Linked DNA regions of Canis lupus familiaris. The protein of the gene in region 2 interacts with the protein of the main gene of each other region in a pairwise test. Links are inferred from orthologs where the notes say so. Each region holds a gene or a part of one and is shown on either strand. Other genes may lie near its edges. The genes, in order: RXRG, MPPED2 and CAGE1.

The links.
Region 1: the proteins of MPPED2 (region 2) and RXRG interact in binary tests that used the Homo sapiens proteins (3 or more experiments, as listed by UniProt). The two-hybrid records come from large-scale screens. The link is inferred for Canis lupus familiaris from reciprocal best matches to the Homo sapiens genes MPPED2 and RXRG.
Region 3: the proteins of MPPED2 (region 2) and CAGE1 interact in binary tests that used the Homo sapiens proteins (3 or more experiments, as listed by UniProt). The two-hybrid records come from large-scale screens. The link is inferred for Canis lupus familiaris from reciprocal best matches to the Homo sapiens genes MPPED2 and CAGE1.

The regions. Positions count from the first base shown.
Region 1 is NC_049259.1:18,575,312-18,579,555, forward strand, and holds the start of RXRG (retinoic acid receptor RXR-gamma), read left to right. Parts: upstream 1-1,321; 5' UTR 1,322-1,423; coding exon 1,424-1,595; intron 1,596-4,244. UniProt on the Homo sapiens protein: Receptor for retinoic acid. Retinoic acid receptors bind as heterodimers to their target response elements in response to their ligands, all-trans or 9-cis retinoic acid, and regulate gene expression in various biological processes.
Region 2 is NC_049239.1:37,322,345-37,325,298, forward strand, and holds the end of MPPED2 (metallophosphoesterase MPPED2), read left to right. Parts: intron 1-950; coding exon 951-1,069; 3' UTR 1,070-2,374; downstream 2,375-2,954. UniProt on the Homo sapiens protein: Displays low metallophosphoesterase activity (in vitro). May play a role in the development of the nervous system.
Region 3 is NC_049256.1:8,646,274-8,650,408, forward strand, and holds the start of CAGE1 (cancer-associated gene 1 protein), read right to left. Parts: upstream 2,864-4,135; 5' UTR 2,849-2,863; coding exon 2,839-2,848; exon of another isoform or gene 2,801-2,838; intron 425-2,800; exon of another isoform or gene 405-424; coding exon 208-404; intron 1-207. Other genes in the region: RIOK1 (serine/threonine-protein kinase RIO1), read left to right, coding at 3,348-3,418.

The DNA.
Region 1 (4,244 bases), on a different chromosome or scaffold from region 2:
TGGCCAGCCTGGAACTGTGAGGGGCCAGAGTCAGGATGGGTTGCGTCCTCAGCAGACAGCGCCGGGGGTGGGAGAATCTGGCTGGCTCAGAGCCTAGAGCCTGCGACTCTGATCTTGGGGTTGTGAGTTCGAGCACCATGCTGGCGTAGAGATTCTTAAAAAAAAAAAAAAAAAAAACTTTAAAAAACAAAAAGAAAGGAAGTGCGAAGGTCAAGATCCAGAGGGAGGTCTCATGTTGGGTTGGGTCGGGGGAGGCAGGGAGCTGTCCTGTGCTGCTGGGAGGAGTCGCAGAGCGGAGTCCTTCCCGTGGTGGGGCTGGGGCAAAACCCACATCGGCTGCCTTGGTTGCTCCATTCAGAGGCCGCTGGTCCCATTCACGAGTGGTGTTCCCTTGGGCAGTGTCTCCAACATCCCTGGCCCCCAGTCCCTGCATCTGCACAGTGGAGAGCAGCATGCCGGCCTTAATGGGGCTTGTGGGTGCAGGACGTGTCAATATATGTCAAGTGCTGAGAACCGGAGCTGGTCTTCACTCGGCAGTCGCTCAGCCAATGTTGAGCTGTTGTTGTTAGTCATGGGAGGAGGCGACGATTGAAGCATCAGTTAAAGTGCCTTCCTGTGGCGGGCCTCAGCCTGCCTGTGTGTTTGGAGCCAAGCTGGGAAAGGATGTGGGAGTAGGGGTCCCTTAGACTGGGAATGACCAGCCAGGGGTGCTCATCGGTTCAGCATCCGACTCTTGATTTTGGCTCAGTTCATGATCTCAGGGTCCTGGGATCCAGCTCCGAGCTCAGTAGGGAATCTGCTGGAGAGTCTCTTCCTCGGCCTCTATACCTCCCCCCCATGCACTCTCTCTGTAAATAATAAAAAAAAAATATTTTTTTAAAGGAAGAACAAGCCAGGTGTCGGACTACTCTCTGATGCTGGGGCTCATGCACCAGGTCCCTCCAGTGGAGACAAGCAGACAGGCTTGGATGTGCGATGGTGTCTCCGGGGGAGAGAGTTGAATGGGATGGAGCCCTGTGGTGCTCCCTAGACCTCACAAGAGTCCTGCCTCTCTGGAATAGCATGTCTCTACTTCTGTCCCCTTCCCTGTGGGTGGGTACGACCCAGTATCAAGATTCATGACAAGTTTCCACTCCGTGCAGGAGAGGCTTGTTAGGCCAGCGAACTACCCTGGCACAGCAGAAAGGGGTGGAAACACCGAGCCATTTGCTCCCTTGTCTGGCCAGTCAGAAAGACTCATGCTTGACATTTTCCTTTCATTGGCTGAGGATGAGGTTGCTAGGCAACCTCCTCACTTTGGTAAGAATTCTGTAGTTCTGAGTACCCGGGCTTCTCTTTCTCAACAAGTACCCCCTCAACATGCACATGCAATTTGTTACTCAGAGATTTTCACTTTGGTAAACAGCAGGGCTGTAGACTTCTTATGCAAGTAATTTCTATTGATCAACTCCCTATCGTCATACACGTTAATCAACAAAAAATTATCCCATCTCTGATCCTGTCTTGTCGTCAGGTACTTTTTGAGCATCTGCCAAGTTCCAGGCTCAGTGCTGGGTACCATGATGGTGACCGTTCACGGCAAGTGGAAATTAAAAGTATGTGACAACCAGGAAGACAGCAGATAGCCGGGGGGGGGGGGGTCGGGGGGGGGTCACGTGGAGGGACCTCTTTGTGCCAGGCTGGGCTATGGGGAGACCTGGGCGATCCTAGGAGGGTGGAGTAGCTGGGATGACGGAGGGGCACTCCGGGCTCAGAGCAGTGGCTGTACTAGCCGATTCAGACAACTCAATATTATAAACAACTGGTATGTCCGTACCAGTGTGTGGCGACGACTTTCCTCGATAGAGCATTTACCACAGGCCTGGCTTGGTCTAAGCCCTCGACGTACACGATCTTCTCCAATGGCATTCAGGCCACACACAGTGCCTTGCTCACAACAATTACAGAACAGTAAATTATTGCACCTGCCACCATGGGGCCTGTGCTTTCAGGTGCTCTCAGCAGGCCACTGAGGTAGGCACGTGTGTCCCCACTTTGGGTGGGGAACTGCAGTTCGAGGGTCACATTCCTTGCTCAAGTCTACGTGACTGGAAGGAGGTGGAGCCTCGAATCCAACCTAGGATTTTGTGGCTTCAGTCTTGTGTTTGGCTGGGCCGCCGCAGTGCCTTGATGCACACATAGACGTGAGGAATCATGCTGGTGTGGGCGCCCTGCAGATTCCCAGACAGCTTGACTGCTGGTGACACTCAGCGTCCCAAACAGAACGAAGGTCTAACAAGGTCCAGCTGCCAAGGACCAGGGGCCCCTCGGAAAGGGGTCCAGACTCACACCCATGCCAGATTGCTGTGACTGGCGCTGCTTCTTTGAGACCTCAGTGGGCCGCATCCTCATCCATGTTCATGGAGTGGTAGTGGGAGGGGTCTCGGAGACCCCTGAGCAGAATGAGGCCCGGAAATATGAAAGACTTTTCTTAAGTATGTTGCCAGGAGAGAAGAAAAGAGAGCCCACTAGCCATTTCCCATTAGATGAGTTACTTTTTATTTAAACAAATCACTGCCTGAATAAAGAGAATCGACTCTGCGGAGTGGAGGGTTTGTGCATCTCCCAGGCATCTGGCAGCGGGCACAGTCCGGCTATGGCTAAAGAGGATTAAGAGGATGTAGGGTCAGGGATGGAGCAAGGCTGCTGAGGTGCAGAGACCAGGGAGGATGGGGCTGTAGGAACAAGAGGGAAGCACTGGAGGATACCTTGACCTTGGATCTAGACTAGAAACCGGGTTTCTGGAAAAAAACGTGTGTACCTTTTGGTCCTGGCTATGGCTCCAACATGGCTTTGAGAAAAAGAGGAAAGAGGGGGGAATCCCTGGGTGGCTCAGTGGTTTAGCACCTGCCTTCAGCCCAGGGCGTGATCCTGGAGACCTGGGTTTGAGTCCCACATTGGGCTCCCTGCATGGAGCCTGCTTCTCCCTCTGCCTATGTCTCTGCCTCTCTCTCTGTGTCTCTCATGAATAAATAAATAAAATCTTTTTAAAAAATAATTAATTAATTAATTAAAAAAGAGAGAGAGGGAAGGTGATGAAAGGGCCATCTGTGGGTCTGACGCTCTGTGGTCTCTTTGGAGGACAGGTTCACTTCCCATTGGGAAACACTTCCATCATTAGAGGCACTGATTCCCACCTTTTCTAAAAGCAAAGCTTTCATGTCTGAGAACCAGTGGGTCATGGGAGAGACACAGAACCAACATGCAATTGTGTCAGCTGTATCAGTCTTTCTGAATTTTATTTTATTCTCTGAAGTGTGGTTATAAAGTAGCCCACCTCTTCTGCATCACTGACTCAGCAGAAGCAAACCGCATGGTAGGGCCATTGCAAAGCAAGCTTTAAGTCTGTTTCATCCTGTCTCAGCCATGCTATGCTCCTCACTGAGCAGCCGAGGCCTATTTTGACTGTCCTCATTATTATTATCAATAAAAACAGTGCACTTTTAATTTCAGTCACCCTCACATCATCTTCTTTTATTCTTGGGACAACTTGTGAGTTCCCCAAAGTCCGTGTTTCTATGTTTTTGTGCAGGTCAGTGTTCCTCTTATACATCATCCCTTTACATGTCCCTATTCCCAAGTGTCCTACATATTGAGGTCCTTGTACTTACTTTGTCCTAGGTCAATTTATTTTTTTTTCAAACATTTGTTTATTTATTTTTGGGATTTTATTTATGTATTTGAGAGAGAGCACAAGCAGGGTGAGCAGCAGAGGGAGAGGGAGAAGCAGGCTCCCCACTGAGCAGGGAATCCAATGCGAGGCTTGATTCCAGGATCCCGGGATCATGAGCTGAGCCGAAGGCAGATGCTTAAATGACTGAACCACCCAAGTGCCCGTTTATTTATTTTGGAGAGAGAGAGAGAGAGAGCAGGAGGAGAGACCGAGGGAGAGAGAGAGAGAATCTCAAGCAGACTCCCCTGAGTGGGGAGCCCGATGCAGGGCTGGATCTTACAATCCTGAGATCATGACCTGAGCCGAAATCAAGAGTCAGATGCTCAACTGACTGAGCCACCCAGGTGCCCTTACTCTCATTTTGAAAACTTAAATAGCTATTTTTAGAAAGGTAATCTCAACGCAAAAATAGAAGCCCAGTCACTTGCTATAAATAGAAGGAAACAGTAAAAATAATTATAGAACTATTAAAAAAAAGAACTATTAATATGTTTTTCAAGAGTTTGTCACTTCACATATGGCCTAAAATGTC
Region 2 (2,954 bases):
TCACGGGCATATTTTTCTATTCCGTAAGAGCCTGATACCAACATAGAATTACAAACTGAATCGCAGAGGCTCTAAGGTAGATATAAGGTATCCAGGGCAATGTGCAAACTTGCAAACATGTTAAAAATTTCAACAAATTAAAAATTATAAAAGGGACCTACATACCAAAGACCCAAGAAAAACTTTCGTAGCTTTTCCCAGTAGGTCACAAGAGATTTATATACTGCACGTGGGAAGTGTTTTTGCTTGATCCAGTGCCCGGGTGAGCTTAGGAAGCAGTGTCCTATGGTGATGTGTGTCTGCAAATCACTTGGATATTCGATTACTTGACTTTTTTTGAATGAAATGGAACTCAGCACCAAAAAGCCACACAATTCGAGTGAGATAAGATCACTTCTTGTTAACCATTCATTGAAGCAGTTTAGAGATTATCTCATAGACAAGGAAGCTGAGCATCCCCCCCACCCTCCTGCACCCCCCCTTCCGGATCCCAGTGCTGTGTGCTCTTTCCTGCCTCACCTGCCCCAAAGCCCATTTGGGGTTTTGGATGTGTGCACCCTGAGGAGCCTCTTCTGTGACTCTCTCTGTTCCCTAGAACTCAGTAATGAATGCAGGGCTTTGAAATGAAAATCATATTTTAAGAAGAGGGGAGAAGTGTTTTTCTCTGTATTCTCACTAGTAAAGAAATCACAGTCTTTCCCCGACAAATCTAATGCTTAAATAAGGAAAAAAGAATCCCTTTTCTTTGAAGTCAAGGATTCTCTCTCTAAAGAAAACAGAATGTAATTGGAAGGCAGCTTCTGAAAGCTGTTATCATCTGGGGAGGCTTCATTGAATCTCATCTCACTGCCCACTGGCAAAGATTTTTGAGTTTTCCTTGCCTGACAGCCCACCACTGAGTCACTATCATTTGTGTATATTACAGTAAGCATGACACTCTGTCTCCACAGGTTACGGCATTATGACCGACGGTTATACAACGTACATCAATGCCTCAACGTGTACAGTCAGCTTTCAACCGACCAACCCTCCAATTATATTTGACCTTCCAAACCCACAGGGTTCCTGAAGCTCTAAAAGCCCAATTGGAATGTGAGGGAAGGTCTATAAACTGCCATTTTTCTAATTATAAACTTACATTCTCTTACTTGTTTATTTCCAAATCCTGTGAGTTCTTTTTGTAAATTACTGGAACACAAATGACGCTAGAGGTTGTGCTTCTCCTTTATTTTATTTTATTTTTTTATTTTTAAAAAATGGGGCGTCCATTCGAAATGAAAGGAGCATTGTGAATTTGTAAAATGACTTCCGTTCTCTCCAAGGCCACGCCATAGTAAATTGTGAGTATTCGCCAAAGGACAGCCAAGCTTTCTTTTTAAAAGGTGATGAAAGTCTTATTTTAATATGCTTTAAGCTGGAAGAAAAAGAAAAGAGAGAGAGAGAGAGAGAGAGAGAGAAACAGGTAGGTAGTGTTTTAAAAACCACCCAGATTTGCACAACTGTTTAAGAGTATTGTTCGAAGTATTTTATTTTTTGATGTTTTGTTGTTGTTGTTGTTGTTTTCTTGGTAACGCTTACTTTTTTGCAGACATGGCCTGGATTTATAGCAATCTTTTCAACAAAAAGTAGGCGTGGAAAAGACTTCTCTTCACACTCTCACTATAAAGAAAGCTGCGTCCAGGGAAGAAAACGGCCCTCGTTTAAAGGATGGCTTAGCTAGTGAGATCCGTATTGTGGTTCTACAAGGTCTCATTGTTTGTTTGTTTCTTTTAAATTATTTTAGCTTTAAAAATATGGGAATGGAATCTGTCAAGAGCAAGTATTTCGTGCAGTTAAAAAAAAAATTGAGCGTGCAGACTCCTTTTCAGTATGGGTTTATATATATAAATATTTTTTGTGTATTATGACTAAGTTAGGAGTTTAATATTGCCAAGGACAGTACGACTGCAAAGGGATGCTTTATAGCAAGGCATCAGAAGTCCGAAGGGGCTGACACATTTTCTCAGAACTCAAGGTCTCAAAGAGCTTGAGTTAAGTCTCGGTACAGTTACAGGCGTGTACAGACTTAAGTGGATGCAATGGGAGGTAACTAAAATAAGGCTTAGTCGTCCTTTATATTTAAATACCCTGAATCGTCTTCTTACTTCCTCTCCCTCCCCCCATTTTGCACTGTGTGTCGATGCAATCTTCGCTAGCACAAAATATTGTCGCTAATAGTCATTTCTGTTTTCCCATTGTAAATGCTGTTGAGCTTTATTCTATTTTATGTTATCTTGTTAATGAAATTTAGGAAAGCAGTTGTTTCTTTTAAATTTATTGTGATATTCTATATCTAGCGGCCTTTATATGCAAATAAAATTGCAAGATTTTTAAATCTGTCCTGTTTGGAGGGTTGGCTGGTAGGAGGATGGTGGTTTAGTCCTGGGGAAGGAGGGATTTATTCACATGCAGCATTAGTACTGCCTTTCAGAAGAATTAGAATAAGTGATTTTTTTTTTCTGATTTTCAATAAATTTTTATTACCCACCATTCACAGGCTGGCAGGTAGATCGATAAGGCACTCAGTCTACTCTTTCCTTCCATCACACTGTCATCTATCTTGCCGTGGGCTTCTGAGGGTGAATATTTCGTCCTCACCATTGTAATTTCTATGAGAAGGCTGACCGTGCAGTGGAGGCTGTGGACGCTTGTGTGCCTGGCAGCGAGAGGGTGAACCAGTGGGTAATAGAGTAACCACTGCGGACTCTTACTTGTCCCCAGGAGCATTACCCCATCACCCCCTCACTATTCACTATTCTTTTATTGATGTCCCTCACTAAAACGTGGCAGCCAGGAGTCCAACAGGTGGTGGTGGAGTGTGGTAAACCAAGTTAAGTCTTTTTTATTAAAAAAAAAAAAAAAGTCTTTTTTATTTTCCCTGGAACAGCCATTGAAGAAAAGCAGCAAAGCAGCAT
Region 3 (4,135 bases), on a different chromosome or scaffold from region 2:
CAGGAAGGATCAGTGTTAACACTATTTGTAAAATTCTTTGTTACATTAACAGAACTAGGAAAACCAGACTCTGTTTGAGGGTCTCCTCTGAGCCTCCACCAGAAATTCTTTTAGTGTTCTTCCTGTTTTTGAGGAAATTTTCATATGGGAGACAATGTGAAAGCTGAATACATCTGTACCTCCTAGTACTCTATAAGCAACGCTCACCTGAGGCGAGTCTGAAGTGGTACTGTTGGTATCCATATACAAGGGAAAATGTGAGTGAGTTAAGTCTTGAGAAAAACTGCTGAAATTCATGCTATCTGCTTTGAACACGCCTTCTAATTTTTCATGAGAGGCATCCACTTCAAAATGTGCAGGATCTGAAGGTGATGACCAAACTTTTTGATAGTCTTTGTTTTTAACTGTTGAATGATGAAGGTTTCTTTTAACAAAAACGTAATTTTAATGTTCATTAGTATATACAAACAGAGGTTATTCCTCCCATTCCCCCTCACATTCAGAAAGCAGCAACATTCATTGTCCTAAAATTTTTAAATGTCCGTTGTCAGGTTATTAGAAAAATAAAAATTTTTAGTTTGAGTATATCATGGGCACTTTGTGTAGCAGTAAATACTGATTTGGACAAAAACAAGTCAATATATGTGGCTACTATCCAATCATTCCCTAAAAGACTTGGGACCCAGATCATAAAGGGACCTCTCAGTCATTTAAGAGATATTTACAAAATATTATCAGAGGACTATCAGGTTCCACAAAATACTGTACTGATATTTACTTGATACTCTCTATTGTGTCATTACCAAATTAAATCCAACATTGTACATCAGTTTTCCTCCACTTTCCTATCCCACATTATTCTCTCAGGCATTTTGGTTTGAAAACTTGGGAGACACCCTTGGTATCCTTCTAATTCGTCAACTGGGCTACCCAGTTACCAAGTCCTGTGCATCTCTCCTTTAAAAATGACTTTCGGGAATCCCTGGGTGGCTCAGCGGTTTAGCTAGTGTCTGCCTTCGGCCCAGGTTGTGATCCTGGAGTCCCGGGATCGAGTCCCACGTCGGGCTCCCCGCATGGAGCCTGCTTCTCCCTCTGCCTGTGTCTCTGCCTCTGTGTGTGTCTTCCATAAATAAATAAATAAAATCTTAAAAAAAAAATTTCATGGGCACCTGGGTGGCTCAGTGGTTGAGTGCCTGCCTTCGGCTCAGGGTGTGATCCCAGGATCCTAGGATCGAGTCCCACATCGGGCTCCCTGCATGGAGCCTGCTTCTCCATCTGCCTGTGTCTCTGCCTCTGTGTGTCTCTCATGAATAAATAAGTAAATAACCTTTAAAAAATTTTTGGTTAAAAAAAATGTTTTTCACAACCCATGCTTTCTTTCCACCTCTTACACCTTCGCACTGGCCCATGCTCTTGTGACTTCCTCAGGCCTGTCAGGGGATGGGAGAGGAAAGGATGTCCAATTGCATGGAATCCAAGTTTTCCTCCTTGACTTTCTAGGTCTCCCACAGCCTGGACCCACATTACCTATTTGGTGCATCCCTGCTCTAGTCAGATCTTGCTCCTTAACTGCTTCAGTCTGAACTGGCAAATGCTTCTCTCTCTTGAGACCTTGCTGTCTACCCATTCATCTATCTTTAAAATTCCTGCAATGTTGTTGCATCTAAACCTCTATCACATGGGAGGCCTGGGTGGCTCAGCAGTTGAGCATCTGCCTTCAGCCCAGGGCGTGATCCTGGAGACCCAGGATTGAGTCCCACGTCAGGCTCCCTGCATGGAGCCTGCTTCTCCCCCTGCCTGTGTCTCTGCCTGTCTGTCTCTTGTGAATAAGTAAATAAAATCCTAAAAATAAAATAAAATCTCTATCACAATTCAGCACCTATTCATTTTACTGTTTTAACCTCTGCCACCCTTTCAAGGGTGTCAATATTTACACGTTTTTAAAAAGTGATGTTTACACCCAACATAGGGCTTGAACTCACCACCCTGAGATCAAGTCGCATGCTCTTCCTACAGCCAGCCAGGTGCCCCACAGTATTTACAGACTATAAGTGCGTCCATTGGAGTCCATGCGTGATTTTTCAGAACTCCTTACAGCAAACAGCAATGTCGTTCACAGAGTGACTATTGATTGAACGAACCTTGCAGTCCAAGGACTTACTTTTACTAAAACTTCTCCATCTACAGTCACTGGCCATTTGCCTGATTTTATTTTATTGAATTGCTGAATTAACGAATAATAATTGAGGCTTGATTCCCATCCCCTCCCCCTGCAAGCTACTATGTCATCCCGTAAAGTATAAAAAAAAGCCAGTGGGTCAAGCAGGCTAGCCAGGGATTAGTGAACTTTTTAATCACCTTTTCCATCTTTCCAAACACATAAATGCTGCCTGCGCTGTGGTGAAGGGCATCTGAAAAAAATCTTTGTTTTCTAAACGCAAAACAAAAACAAAAGCAACCAACAACAACAAAAAACCAAGTGTCTTATTCCTTAAACTTTTTTGGTCTAGAATTTCCAATCACATTTCTGGACCTTTATTCATAGTGCACATTCTATCAACTTATTATTTATTATTTTTTTTAAGATTTCATTCATTCATTCATTCATTCATGAGAGAGGCAGAGACCCCGGCAGAGGGAGAAGCAGGCTCCCTGCGGGGGAGCCCGATGCGGGGTTCGATCCCGTGACCCCGGGGTCACGCCCTGAGCCCTCCAGCTGCCCCTCTAGTTCGGTTTTAAGGCGTTTTCAGTCGTATGACAAACTCTCTAAAAAAAAAAAAAATCACTTATCTTAGTTTACCCTCAAAACACGGCACCAAACTCCTTAAGTCTAACTACCAGGCTCCATAGTTTCCCGGACCGCGGCAAGGACCTCGAGCCTCCCGCCTCCGCACGCCGCGGCGCGGGACGAAGAGCAACGTCACACCCGCTCCCACCCAAGGCGTTAAAAAACGGCCGGAGGTACCGGGCGCGTTGGACTCGCGCGCGTGTGACGTCACCCCGCCGCGCCAGCCAATCTCCGCGAGGCTCGCGGCCCGCCGGGCTCCCACGCCCCCTCTGGGCCACGCCCCCCACCTGCGCAGGGGCCGCCACCGCCTCGTGAAGGGGCGGGACTTCCGGCGGGCCGCGCCTTCCGGTCGGGCGGGACTTCCGGTCAGGGAAGTTCCCCCCGCGCGTCCGGGTTGCCGGTGCAGGTGCGTTATCAGCGCGTGGCGCCCGCCTTTCGCGGCGGAGCCTCTGAGCCGCGTGCTGGGCGGGCGTCTGCCGAAGGGCGGTCTCATGGGCCGCAGGTAGGTTCCTGTCCCAGCGCGCGGCGGACGGCCTCCGGGGCTCTGCGCGCTCCCGGGATGGACTACCGCCGGCTGCTGATGAGTCGCGTGGTCCCGGGGCAGTTCGACGACGCGGACTCCTCCGACAGGTGCGCGGCCCCCGACACCCCGACCCCGCGGGGGCTCCGCTGCCCCCCCCCCCCCGGCCCCCTCGGCTTTGGAGGGAGACCAGTAGTTGTCTCGCTTCTTTCCGCACCCCCGCGGGGTCTTTTATCCCACTTTGCGGCAGAGCCCCCCAAAGGAGCCCCGGGTCGCTTAGCATCGCTGAGTCAGGCGACTGTCTGCAGCCGGGGACAGCGGGGAGGAAGCCGATTTTTCTTTAAAAAAAAATATTTTATTTATTTATTCATGAGAAGCAGGCTCCACGCAGGGAGCCCGACGCGGGACTCGATCCCGGGTCTCCAGGGTCACGCCCTGGGCCGGAGGCGGCGCTAACCGCTGAGCCACCCGGGCCGCCCAGGAAACAGATTTTTGCCTCTTGAGCTGCATCCAACGTCCAGAAGGTATCGGAGCGCCTGTTGTGTGCAGGTTCTGTCGGCGGCGCTGGAGACGGTGATGAATAAGACAAGAGTCCCTGCCGTCGCCTGAACATTGCCTTCTGCATGGGAGCGAGGACTTGACGATGGGGTACATAGAGATAGTCTAAGAGCCCCGAAACAGATGTTAGGCGCTAGTGCAAATAATTGAAATGAGTTGATAGGCCGAGTAGTTGACAATGTCAGGGGAGAGGTAAGTCCGGATCGGAAGGACAGAAAAGGAGCTAAAGTCGGGAAGAGCAGGAGGGAACAGCAGTTCAGCAAGAGGAG